Linked DNA regions of Coturnix japonica. The protein of the gene in region 2 interacts with the protein of the main gene of each other region in a biochemical or structural test. Links are inferred from orthologs where the notes say so. Each region holds a gene or a part of one and is shown on either strand. Other genes may lie near its edges.

Region 1 (3,647 bases), on a different chromosome or scaffold from region 2:
GTTAGACTGGTTTGTCCCTTTGTGGGTACGTTTTACCTCAGCAAGAATAAGTTATTTTGCTCAGCAATGTGTTTTCCGTGAATCTCTAAAAGGATTCCCTTTCTCCAATTACAGCCATTTGCACAGACAGTTCATCTGGACAAATATACCAGCACAGGGGGAGCTGGCTGAGACTCTCAGGGAGCAGAATAGAATATTGTAGGTGTGACAGTGGTCGGAGTTACTGCCACACTGTGCCCATCAGAGGTGAGTATGAAGAAAAAGAATGGAAAGGGTGGGAGATAACAGACTATCCATTTAATCATCCTAAAGAAAAACTCCATTGTCAGGGAAGGAGCGATCACAAAAAACTTGGCTTGAAATGAAAGCATCAGTATACACTGACTCAGGCAGTACTAAGGAGGAATGGGCAAGAGGCTGAGAAAAGCTTATGATACCATTAATGGAAAGAATGGAGCAAAGGAAGAGTCGAACATGATATACACATATTAGGGGAAAGCAGAACAGGCTGAAGGAGACCAGCAGGAGGAGGGGGGCATGTTGCCAGCTGCTTACTTCTGTGAATTCTAACTGTTTCCTGGCTTTTGTTTATTCCACAGCCTGCACTAGAAATAAATGCTACAATGGGGGCCAGTGTTCACAGGCATATTACTCCCCACAGCTCTTCATCTGCCAGTGTCACCACGGTTTCTCTGGGAAGCAGTGTGAAATAGGCAAGTATGCTGCTCCAGTTATTGGGAACAACACTGCTGGTTTTAGCTGTGTGGTGCAGAAGGATTAGGTACTTAGAAACCACTGCTGTATGGAGGTCTCTCCACTAAGCTGCCTCTTTTTGTGGTAAAGCTAATGCTACAAACAAGTTTAGAAAAGGACACGTGGGTTTCTCTGTGTCTCATGAGGCCTCAGGTGGGAAACTGCATCCAGATCTGGGGCCCCCAGCACAATAACGATGTAGAAACATTGGAGTGAGTCTAGAGGAGGACCACAAAGATGAGTAGAGGGTTGGGGCACCTCTCCTAAAAACACAGGACAAGAGCATTGAGTTTGTTCAGCGTGGAGAAGAAAAGGCTCCGTGGACACCTCATTGCAGCCCTCCAGTACTTTATAGGAGCTTCCAGTACTGTCAGGAGGGAGACAGACTTTTTATACTGACTAATAACAATAGGGCAAGGATGGTTTTAAACTAGAAGAGAGAAGGCTTAGATTAGATGTCAGGGGGATATTTTTCATTCAGAAAGTGGTGAGGTGCTGGAATACGTTGCCCAGAGAAGGTGTGGATGTCCTGTCCCTGGAGATGTTTAAGGCCAAGATGTATGGGGCCTGTGCAGCCTGATCTAGTGCTTGATTTAGTGGCTGGCAACCCTGTCCACAGCAGGGGGGCTGGAACTAGATGGTCTTTAAGGTCCCTTCCAACTCAAGCTACTCCATGGTTCTCTGTCCTCTTAATAAAATACTAAGTTTTGAAGACAAAGACATTCATGTATATGCAGAGCTTGCTTGGAAAGATATTGCCCTGACTTACAAGGCATCTGGAGCTAACTTTAAACAGAGCACAGTCAGAGAAAGCAGAATTTGTGATGCTGTTTTTTGTTCCCTTTTGCTCAGATACTGAAGCTAAGTGCTACAAAAATGCTGGAGTAACATACAGGGGTACATGGAGCATAACAGAGAGTGGAGCTGAATGCCTGAATTGGATCATCAGTGGCTTGATGGACCGTAAATACAGTGGCCAAAGAAAGGATGCTGCTGAGCTGGGGTTGGGCAATCACAACTATTGCAGGTGAGGGGCTCACAGCACACATTAGAGCTGTAAGAATCTGATTATTTCAAGAGCTTAGGGCAAAAAAGGCTATTTGTAAAAGCTTAGTACCAACCATAGAACACTGCGTACAGGTGCAAACATGTCCAAGAGCAGCAACTGATAGATTTCTATTTCTGAACCATCTAAGAGTGGATGTTTGACAGACTACAAAGATGCACGCCTCTCTCACTCCATAGCCTTTCCCTTGTGCCCACTGCTTCCTTCTTAGTGTTAAAAACTCCTGTTACAAGCCAGTTTCCTGTCACATTTGCCTGTAGCTCTAGACACTCCTTAAAACTCTACAATGCAGAGCTTCCTGCACGTGATCTAAACTGCACAAACAAGCTATCCACTCTTGCTACTGGCCATCTCATCCTCACCTCCATGCTTTTCTAACTAAAATAAGAATACAGATTACTTCTGCAGGTTCAGTTCACCCCTTCACTGCTAAGCACAATCAAGTTACCAAACTAGATGGCACACCTGAGACTAGTAATTATAGCTTTATAATGATGCATAATGTCATAACTCTTTCAGAAACCCAGATGAGGACTCCAGACCTTGGTGCTACATCTACAAAGGGGGAAAGTACACCTGGGAACACTGCAGTGTGCCCTCCTGTTCAAAAGGTACATGCAGGAGGACAGAGAATGGGCTTTAGATATATAGTGAGTCATAGCAGCTCTAAGAGTTATCTGTGTCTTTGTGAAAATCAACAGTTAACATATTCTTATGTTAAATCATGTTTAAGGTTTTAATATTTACTACAGAGCCTGAGAGAAGTATAGCTAGTATATAGAAGTCTTGACAGAAATCACAATTGGAGCAGCTGATGGTTCACATGCGCCATGTAACATATGCAGTTTTCTTATTTAAGTTGGAAACATCAATTGCAAAACTGGAAGAGGCACAGATTACCGAGGTAGTCACAGTGTTACCAGTTCTGGAGCTACCTGTCTGAGGTGGAATTCTCTAATCATTGTCAGCAAGTTATATACTGCTTGGAGAAGAGATGCTTACCAGCTGGGCCTTGGCAGTCACAATTTCTGCAGGTATGTATTCAGTGGTACAGTGAACTTAAAAACAAACAGTAAGTTTCCTTGTGGTAATGTTGAGGCAGGGCTCTAGTTGTTTACATGAGTTACAAAACACAGTAAGGATGTTATGGCTGGGAATCAAACTCACTGCTAATGGTAATTTTCATTCCACTTGGTCTGCCTATACTTCTCTAACACCATAAATGAAAATTTAACATGCCCTCTGTGTCACTAAAAAGATCAAAAGGAGTACACTCAGAACCCCATCTGCTGTCCTTAAGTGTCTCCTTCTCGCTAAACTCTGCAGATCTGACAATACAAGTTTTTCTTCTCCTTCCTGTACTGCAGGAATCCTGACAACGACAGCAAGCCCTGGTGCCACGTACTAAAAGGAAAACAGCTCACATGGGAGTACTGCGATGTGCCTACTTGCTGTAAGGATCCCAGCACTCCTGATGCTGCTCTTTCTTCTGTACTGTATGTTGGAAGCCTCTTATAGCAAAATAAGTGATGGGGAAAACAAGCTCCTTAGGATAAAAAGGGATTCTGTAGCTCAGCTGTCACAGAAGTACCTTCTCTGCCCCCGAGGAGATGATCACAGAACGAGGAAATAGGAAAGACAGGGTTTCTTTAATGTGTTTTTCAAATCAATATAAGTTTCCTAGGAAACAGGAATGAGTCAGATACCGAGCAGTTCATGCAAGGCTGCCTCAGTATGCATTGATAGCCAGCAGGCTCTTAACCTTAACTTAATGCAAGAGTCCCTGAACAAAAAAGATATTTCTGTGTTTGTCACCTACAGCCACCTG
Region 2 (4,177 bases):
AAATCTATTCTTTTAAATAACTCATCACAGTCCTGCAATTCTTCCTCTTGTTGTGATCTTTTCACCCTATAAGCATTTTATTGTTGTCTGAGCTTTTTATGATTCTTTAAGATTGTTATAATTCTTTCACAGCACCATTACAAAAGAGTGAACAAAACTGCACAGGACTCGGACTGGGAAGGCATCTTCAGTCTTGCTGCTGAGATTAGCAGTGGACTATGTATGTGTGCCATTGAACTAATGCACACAATCATAAAAATAACACTTTTACAAAATTACATGCTAGGATAGCTTAGAATGGCAGTGGAGCATTTATGTGCGTAACTTTTGTCTGCTTTGAGTTCAGGAGCTTCCTTATGGACAGAACAGACATGGCTGGCTGATCCTCAGACAGTAAAGATAATGTGGAGTCTGCTCAGACCTGGGTTGCTGAAGTTAGCTGAGCTCTTCTGCTTCTGAAATGAGAAGAATTTTGTTATTTTGTTGTATTGTGGTATTAGTGGCACTGCACAGAATTCAACAGAACACTTCACAAAAGGAGCTGCAGGAAATTAAGATCAACAAAAAACTTTCTTTCCAAGTATGCACGGGTAAGATTTTGCCTTAAATATAACAGAAACCTCCAGTCATACAAATGATGGTGTAGGTGTAAATCAGTGACTTAAATCAACGTAGCACCATCCTATCGATCTGCTCTGTTCCTTGTAACTTGAGAATACAACTCACTGTTAGTGTTGTTTACATGAGTTCCGTTCTAATTTAAGAGGGTTTACGGAGACAAGAGAAGCATGCAATGCAAAGCCAGACATGGGAGGAAACAAAAGGTAGTACACTAGTACTTGCTTCCGAAGGCCCAATGGTTTTCATGAGCATGGAGCTTCAAAGAAAGGGCAATGCCTTTTTTTTTTTTCAAATATCAACTGCCTGATTGTATTCGCTAAATTCCCGCCACACAACATGTGTTTTCCATTAGTTAAGTATTGCTGGCTCCTGCTAGGACCCACATACACCCTAGATGAACAACAATTTACAAGAAATCAAGCTTGAAGCTGATATGCTTTTTTTTTTCTTTCCTGGAATACATGGTGTTGCCCTCATGGTGGTGCTGTACAAATTTATCTGGAGCAAATAACACCAGAAACTTGTGCAAGAGGCCTTATGTAATCGACTCAGGACATTTGACATGTTTTGTCTCCAAACAGAAGGGAGAATAATGATTAATCTCTGCTCTTCAGCAAGGTTTAAATTGCATCAAAAAGACCAGAGGAGAGAATCCTCTCATCCACAGTTCTGCTCGCTCTTCTCCGAAGATGATACCAGTGAAGATACTCTGTGTGTTGCTCTGCCTCAACTTAGCTTGGGTATGAGTTTCCTTACTTCATTATTTCCTTACCTTGCTGATTTGAAGAGTAAGAGTTTATTTAATCTGCATGAATTAGATGCATGTTTGCTGGCACCTATCTTGTCAAATTCAGTGCACACACATACGCACAAGCCTAGTGTGACTACTTCACTGCTGCTCTTTCATGACAGCAGTTCTTGTATATCCAGTTCTGTTTTGATTAATTCAGTCTTGTTGTACCCGCCTGCCTTCTGCAAAGCAAATAACACGAATTCATAGATTCACAGGTGCTGCTGTGAGCCTTAAAGCTGGCTGAATTGGATGCTGGAGGCTCCAGACAGTCAGGAATTTTCAAGTTTATTTTAATTCTACTTTCCTTTTCTACTTCCTCAGTTTGCTTCAACTGCACTTTCTAGCTACAAATGATGCACAATGGCTTTATTATGAAATTCCGATTTGAAAACAGTGATTCTTATGGCAGCAACATCAAATTAAACTAGAATGCAAGCAAGATGACAATAGATTATGGTCTATTATATTGCAACACATAATGAAACATTTATTACCTAAGATAAGCAAGAAGAAATTTTTAGATGAGGAAAGTGATAATCATAATTTTCAACTATACTAACATATCCTTGACATTTTTTCACTTATGTTTCAGCCATTAATCTCATGTTAGTCTTCTTTACGACTGTATTTTGAAGAAAGTAAATGCTCTCACAAATTGCAGAAATTATGGGGAGCAGATCTGGCTAAACACAAGCAGTTCTGCCGGAGCTGCCAGTGCTTAAAGGGCACAGACGACCTAAAATTAAATATTTTATTTGTTATTTTAGGGGACTCTTTGGCCAAGATGAATTGAACCAATGTGAAACTGCTGAGTTAAATAATGACATTCCAGTTCCACAGGGCTGAGGTTCTGGCTCTGAAGGCTGTAATTAGGAACACTCTCTCTGCATGTGAATTAATCATACATCTTTTTTGGCATGAATTATACTGTTTGTTAAGAACGTAATGCATATGAAGAAAAACCTAGGCAGACCTAATTAGATCTCAAGCAATCTCCTTTACATTTTATGAAAAAGAATTATTTTCCAGTTCTTTACTAAGCAATAATGCAGTAAGAATCCTTACAGCATGTTGGTTTAGAATTAGCTGGTATAATTGCACTTTGGTTTCTCAGATTTCAAGAAAAATCTCAGTTCATTTATTTCTGTTCCTTCCATTAACAAAGTGCAAACCATCCATCACTGACATTATTATTTTCATTACAATGCTATTAGTATTCTTGTTCTTTATGTCAGGCAAAACAGTGCTAGGAGCTTATAGGACTAAAAACAGAAACACTAATGAATGGAAATAGTAAATTCATGCATATCTTCAAGCCAGTTTTGAGTAGGCAGAAGGAATAGGATGAAAACAAAAATTTAAGAATATGAAAGCAAGTGAAAATGGAATGAAGATGTTTCAAAGTTAACTTAAGTAACTTCAATCTAATTTCAAGCTAATTTTGCATTTACATACAAAGCTCAGGATTATCTTGTAAAGATATCATCATTATCATCATACTCTAAGCACCATCCATTCTCCATATGAGCATTAATTTTAAGAGTGGAAAAGCTTTATTCTTACAAAACAAACAAAACCATGTCTTACAAGAAACGCCTTGCCACTATTGGATGATGCATTCCACAAGGCTGCAGTGCTACTGAGTGCTTGAGGATGTCAGCTTTTCATTTCCATTTTCTTGACCAGTGCTCCAACACTCTCAGTTTTGCTCTTCTCTTTACTCCTCCCGGCAGGCTCAGGATGGGGAGACCACCTTTGAAAAGGAGGGAGCAGGTGTGCGTGGCCCCAGGATTGTGGAGCACATGCAACAGTCCTCCTGCAAGTATGAGAAGAACTGGCCGATCTGTGCGGACGATGACTGGGTGAGCAATGAGCCATAGGGACAGCAGGGCACACAAGGACCCCTGCCCTTGGTTTAGGAGGTCTGATGACAAGATGTTCAGTAAAAGCTTCCCAATGGCTGACTGAATGTCTGTGTATGAACTGTTGGTTTGTCTCTCTCTTGCCTCCTGCATCTCAACTCATATCTATGCTACATTTAGAAGATGCAATCTTGCCTAAGAGTTATAACGTATAAGAGCAGGGGATTTTCTGAGGATAATTCTGCTTAAATGAATGAGCCTAGGTCACCCTTGATCAAGCTGGATCTAACTTCCCTTTACAGCAGCCCTTTGGGAAATAAATGTGGTGAGATTATTGTTTTGCTTTTATTATTGTTGTTATTAATATTGTTATTGTTATTTTTTGTTTTGTTTAATTTTGTTTCTACTCTTAAGGAACAGAGGAAAGTGAAAATTAAAGGTTCCTTTGTCACCACTTGAAACAGGATTCTATGCATACATTTCAGCAATTCCAATGCACCAGTGTCAGAGGTGCAAGATGTGAAGGGGTCAGCCGTGAGGTGTCCTGCTCCAAGTCATACAAGCCCTTGTCAAAGTCATTGGATGGATAGGACAGAAGAAGTCACATAATACTGCCCTAAGTCATATTAGAGTGTTTTAATTGCTGGGTATTGATTTAAAAAACAAAAAGACAGATTCATGAAGATTTTAGCACAATTATTTCTCTTCCTCTTTTAGGGTATAAAATGTCCATCAGGCTGCAGAATGCAAGGATTAATTGATGACACAGACCAGGATAACAGTCACAGAATAGACAAAATTAGGCAGCAACTCGCAGACAGTCAAAATAACTATAAAGCATCCAATCGGGTAATTGTGGAAACCATAAATATACTAAAGCCTGGTCTGGAGGGTGCCCAGC
Region 3 (4,190 bases), on a different chromosome or scaffold from region 2:
CCCCTCATGTATCACACTCCTTCCAGTAGAGGTGGGTTCCTCAGTTGAAACAAAGCAATGTGTTCTCCCTGGAGGAGCTAAAGCACTAACTTTGAGCACAAGCTGTGAGTTCCATTTTGCAGAGCAGGGTGCTGCTGTCAGTACATGGGTGTGCTCCAGGGGAGTGCAGTGTGCCCTGCAGAAGCTCCCAATGGGGGAATGGTGCTGGATGGATCCAGAGGTAAAAAACACTTCTGAAGGGAGGAAGGCAGTATTTAATGTTGGTTAATCCTGAGGAAAACGGGCCATCCCAATCAGCTTTGAGAGGATCCTATGCAAAGAATTTCACCCAGAGGGTGGTAATGCACTGGAACAGGTTGCCCAAGGAGGCTGTGGATGCCCCATCCCTGCAGGCATTCAAGGCCAGGCTGGATGTGGCTCTGGGCAGCCTGGGCTGCTGGCTGGCGACCCTGCACATAGCAGGGGTTTGGAACTAGACAAGCACTGTGCTCCTTTTCAACCCAGGCCATTCTCTGATTCCATGTAAGGGTGGTGGTGGCTGGGCAGAAGCACATACCTTTATCTTTCCTGCTGCATCCCCACTTAAAGCTTATTAAGCCTCGCTAATAAGCACAGGAGAGTCGTGGCGCACACAAAAGCCAGCAGCCTGAGCACACCTCACCACCTCTCCAGGACCGCAGTGACCCGTCCCCTCCTCCAGCACCCACTCCCACCACCCACGGGGCGCTGCCCTGTGGCCACCAGCAGGCAGAGAGCGCGGATTACCTCGGGATTATCACAACCCACGGGATGTGGGATTACAAAATAAACACTGCTCGGCCGAAGGAAGCAGCGCACAGCGTTCCGCCCTGACTTTGCAGCGGTTCGGGGCTGAGCTCGAGGGGAGCCACCGTGCCCACCCTGCAACCCCGCAATGACGGAGCAGAACCGCCGCTCCCAGCACGGCCCGCAACGCGTGCAACACTTTGCAACGTTATTGCAGACTCCCCTCTCCGTCACCGCTCGTTATTATCATCATCTTCTTTAAAATTCTATTTTGCAAACCTTCGTGGAACAGACGCCCTCTCCTTGCTCCGCTTGGAGCTGCAGTAGAATGAGGGGTTGGCGGGGGTGGGGTGGGTAAGAGGGAGGAGAGGAGGAGAAGGAAAAAAAACACTTTTGGTTGAGGTTTTCTGTTACTATCACTGTAGCGTTATTTAGCCAATCTCCGAACTGTGACGTGAGGAAGGCAGGAATCATGGCTCGCTCATAATATTTAACACACCCACTGGAAATCTGGAGCTGCAGAGCTACCCTCCACCCGTCTCCAGAACCCAGTGTGGCTGAAAGAGTTTTCACTCTGCACCTGCCATGCAGCTCTCCCCCCTCTCCCCCCCTCCCCCCCTCCCTTCCTCTCTTCTCTTCTCTAAAGGCAGATCTGTAGGACCCAGCAGAGATCAAAGACGGGACCTCTTTGCTATATAGAACCGCTAACCGAATTCTATTAGTTTCTTTCCCTAATCCTTCCCCTCCCCCCCCCCCCCCTCGTTTCTTTCTTTCCCTGTGCCATATTTAACCTTTATGTTGCAGTTGTGCCATCCGACAGTTTTGCAGCCAAAAAAAACCCAACCCACGCCAAGGCAAGCCCAGTTCGGATACAGGCAGCCACACCGGCTGGATCTCAGCTGAGCGCTCATCTCTCCCGAGCGGCGGACAAAGCGATGGATGAAGGAACTGGAACCGCTCGGAGAAAATGATTTTGCAGCCAATGTTCTTAAGCAGTCTCACAGAAGAGAAGGGAGCGAGCGGAGAGCGCTTCTGCTGCATCACTGGCACATTGAAAAGGAAGGAGTCAGCGTTTCCTGCACTGCCAAACGTTATGGATGTTTTTTTTTCCTTCTGTCGCTGCCGTACAGGTTTCTTCTTAATATTCTTTCTCCCTCTCCTCCTCCCGTCATTTTTTGAACGATTATGATTTAATCGCAGCCAACGCCAGACGCCTTTCTTCTCCAGAACCAGCTCTCCTTATTTGTTGTGATCCCCGTAATAAAAAAGCGAGAGAAACCGCGAACAGATGGCTCTAGATATCGCAGTGCCGCTGCCTTTGTTTTCCTACCGATTTTAAAGGCTCCTTTTTCGATTATTATTATTTTTTTTTTCCCCGATTCCTTCCCCCCCTCCCCCCCCGCCCTCCCCCCTCCCAAGTTCTTGATGATACTGAGAAATGAGGACCTATCGCTTTTAGCCTCTTTCTGTCGCGGCGCCTATGGAGATAACTTTATTGACTTGATCGCTCGCTGCTCGACCCGCCAGGAGAGCGCCGGAGCCCCGGGGGGGGCGGAAGACCCGCTCCCGCTGCCGGCCGACCCCGCCGCCTCCCCTCCCTCCCTCCCCCGCTAATTCATCAGCCGCTCCCGGCCATGAAAATGCTCCTGGTCCGCAAGTTCCGGGTGCTGATCCTCATGGTGTTCCTCGTCGCCTGCACCATGCACATCATGATCGACCTGCTGCCTCGCCTGGAGCGCCGCGGTGCCGAGGGCCGCCCGGGCTGCTCCTGCCCTCCGCCCGCCGCGCCGCCCCGCGCCGCCCCGCGCTGGCCCAGCAAACACACGCTGCGGATCCTGCAGGACTTCAGCGCCGAGCCGGCCTCCAACCTCTCCTCGCAGTCGCGGGAGGCGGCGGAGCGGGCGGCGGGCGGCGGAGGGGACGCGGCGGCGGCGGCGGCGGCGGGCGGGGACGGGGGGGCGGCGGGGCGGCCTCGGCGGCTCATCGCGCCCGGAGCCCCGCGCCCGCCGCCCCCCGCCCAAGCCGCGCCGTTGGCCGCCCTCTTCCAGCACCCGCTGTACCGCGCCGCCCTGCCCCCGCTGACCGACGGCGACCTCCTCTTCAATGTCAACAGCGACATCAGGTTCAACCCGCGGGCGGCCGAGCAGAGCGAGTGGTGAGGATCGGGGAAGTGGGGGGGGAGGAGGGGGCGCGGGGTCGGGGCGGAACGCGGCGCGGTGCTGCCCTGCTGAGCTGCCTTTTTCCGGGGGTGTTCCCGAAGAATTGGGTGTCACGGCTCGGGGTGAAAGGGAGGGATTCGGGCTTCAGGGGTATGAGAAATGGAGCGGAACCGTCTGCAGACGTCAGCCGTTGTCTTCCTTCCAAATTAGCCCCGAAATACGGGACGTAACGCGGCAGTGTCGGGAGCAGAGGGTCCCCGGGATGCTGCCTGCAGCTGCAGCCAGAGGCAGATGCTAGCAGAGAAACAGTGGGAGGCCAGGCTCAGACACAGCACAACCCCCTTGCCCTGCACCTTCTCATTTGCAGGGGCTGAGCAGTCCGTCCCGCCACCAACAGCCTCACTTTTCTCTAAAGTAAGGTCTAATGTCACAAAGTTCTGTCTTCAGGCTTTGATCGGTGCTCCAGTTTTCATCCTCAATTAATTCCCAGTGTCCTGGCACCTCCGCAGCCCTCCAGCCTTCAGAGTGCTCTATTGCCTCTGCGAATGGTTTGTTGGCTGGTGGGAAACGCTGGGAAATCTCAATGAGTGAGAAATCCAAAGGCTTGTCTAATCCAACAGCACCCTCTTCCAAACACACTGACATTGTAGTGTTTAAACAGCTGCATTGTACCGAGCAAAAGCTCTGTGAAGCTGCAGAGCTTCCAATGGGATCCGAACATTCAGACGGAGAGGACAGATATCTCTGATTTCTACCCCCTGCACATGTCAGTGGTCCAGGCCCTTCTGCTTAACAGAAGCATCTGTGAAGGGAAATAACTGACAAAGTTCTGGTTTCCTTGAGAATAAAAGACCAATGGCAGAACATGGAATGATGGCTAAAAGCATGGGAGGCTTTGGGGTGGGAGAAGTGTGGCTGTGTCACATAGGTGGAGGGCAAAGCTGTCCCTAATGGCCATAATGCAGCTGCTGCTGTGTGTTTTCCCCCCAAGTTCCCCGAGCAAACATGAAATGTAGCATTCACATGTTGTTCTCACAGTCCTTTTCCATATCAGTATGGTGCTGCTAAGGAAGGGGCGACCCACCCCAAGTTTCTCTTTAGCAGCAGGTTCAGCTGAGCTGGTTTCTTCTTATTCTTCCTGATTAAAAGGAAGGAGGGGGAACATTGGGTCCAACAGGTCAGCTTTCTGCTGCACTGACTTCCAGCCCCAGCTCTGTTAAATAAAACTTGAGGACGATGCTTTGCTTTGGGTCCAACTTGTAAGAG

Evidence for each region.
Region 1: the proteins of FGA (region 2) and PLAT form a complex in vitro, tested with the Homo sapiens proteins (2 studies listed by BioGRID). The link is inferred for Coturnix japonica from reciprocal best matches to the Homo sapiens genes FGA and PLAT.
Region 3: of the proteins of FGA (region 2) and FAM20C, one has a biochemical effect on the other in vitro, tested with the Homo sapiens proteins (2 studies listed by IntAct). The link is inferred for Coturnix japonica from reciprocal best matches to the Homo sapiens genes FGA and FAM20C.

Annotation. Positions count from the first base shown.
Region 1 is NC_029537.1:4,078,719-4,082,365, reverse strand, and holds part of PLAT (tissue-type plasminogen activator), read left to right. Parts: intron 1-114; coding exon 115-246; intron 247-599; coding exon 600-713; intron 714-1,605; coding exon 1,606-1,780; intron 1,781-2,338; coding exon 2,339-2,430; intron 2,431-2,678; coding exon 2,679-2,853; intron 2,854-3,186; coding exon 3,187-3,272; intron 3,273-3,640; coding exon 3,641-3,647. UniProt on the Homo sapiens protein: Converts the abundant, but inactive, zymogen plasminogen to plasmin by hydrolyzing a single Arg-Val bond in plasminogen.
Region 2 is NC_029519.1:18,074,354-18,078,530, reverse strand, and holds the start of FGA (fibrinogen alpha chain), read left to right. Parts: upstream 1-1,254; 5' UTR 1,255-1,310; coding exon 1,311-1,361; intron 1,362-3,147; coding exon 3,148-3,276; intron 3,277-3,993; coding exon 3,994-4,177. UniProt on the Homo sapiens protein: Cleaved by the protease thrombin to yield monomers which, together with fibrinogen beta (FGB) and fibrinogen gamma (FGG), polymerize to form an insoluble fibrin matrix. Fibrin has a major function in hemostasis as one of the primary components of blood clots.
Region 3 is NC_029529.1:1,831,531-1,835,720, forward strand, and holds the start of FAM20C (extracellular serine/threonine protein kinase FAM20C), read left to right. Parts: upstream 1-1,388; 5' UTR 1,389-2,399; coding exon 2,400-2,920; intron 2,921-4,190. UniProt on the Homo sapiens protein: Golgi serine/threonine protein kinase that phosphorylates secretory pathway proteins within Ser-x-Glu/pSer motifs and plays a key role in biomineralization of bones and teeth.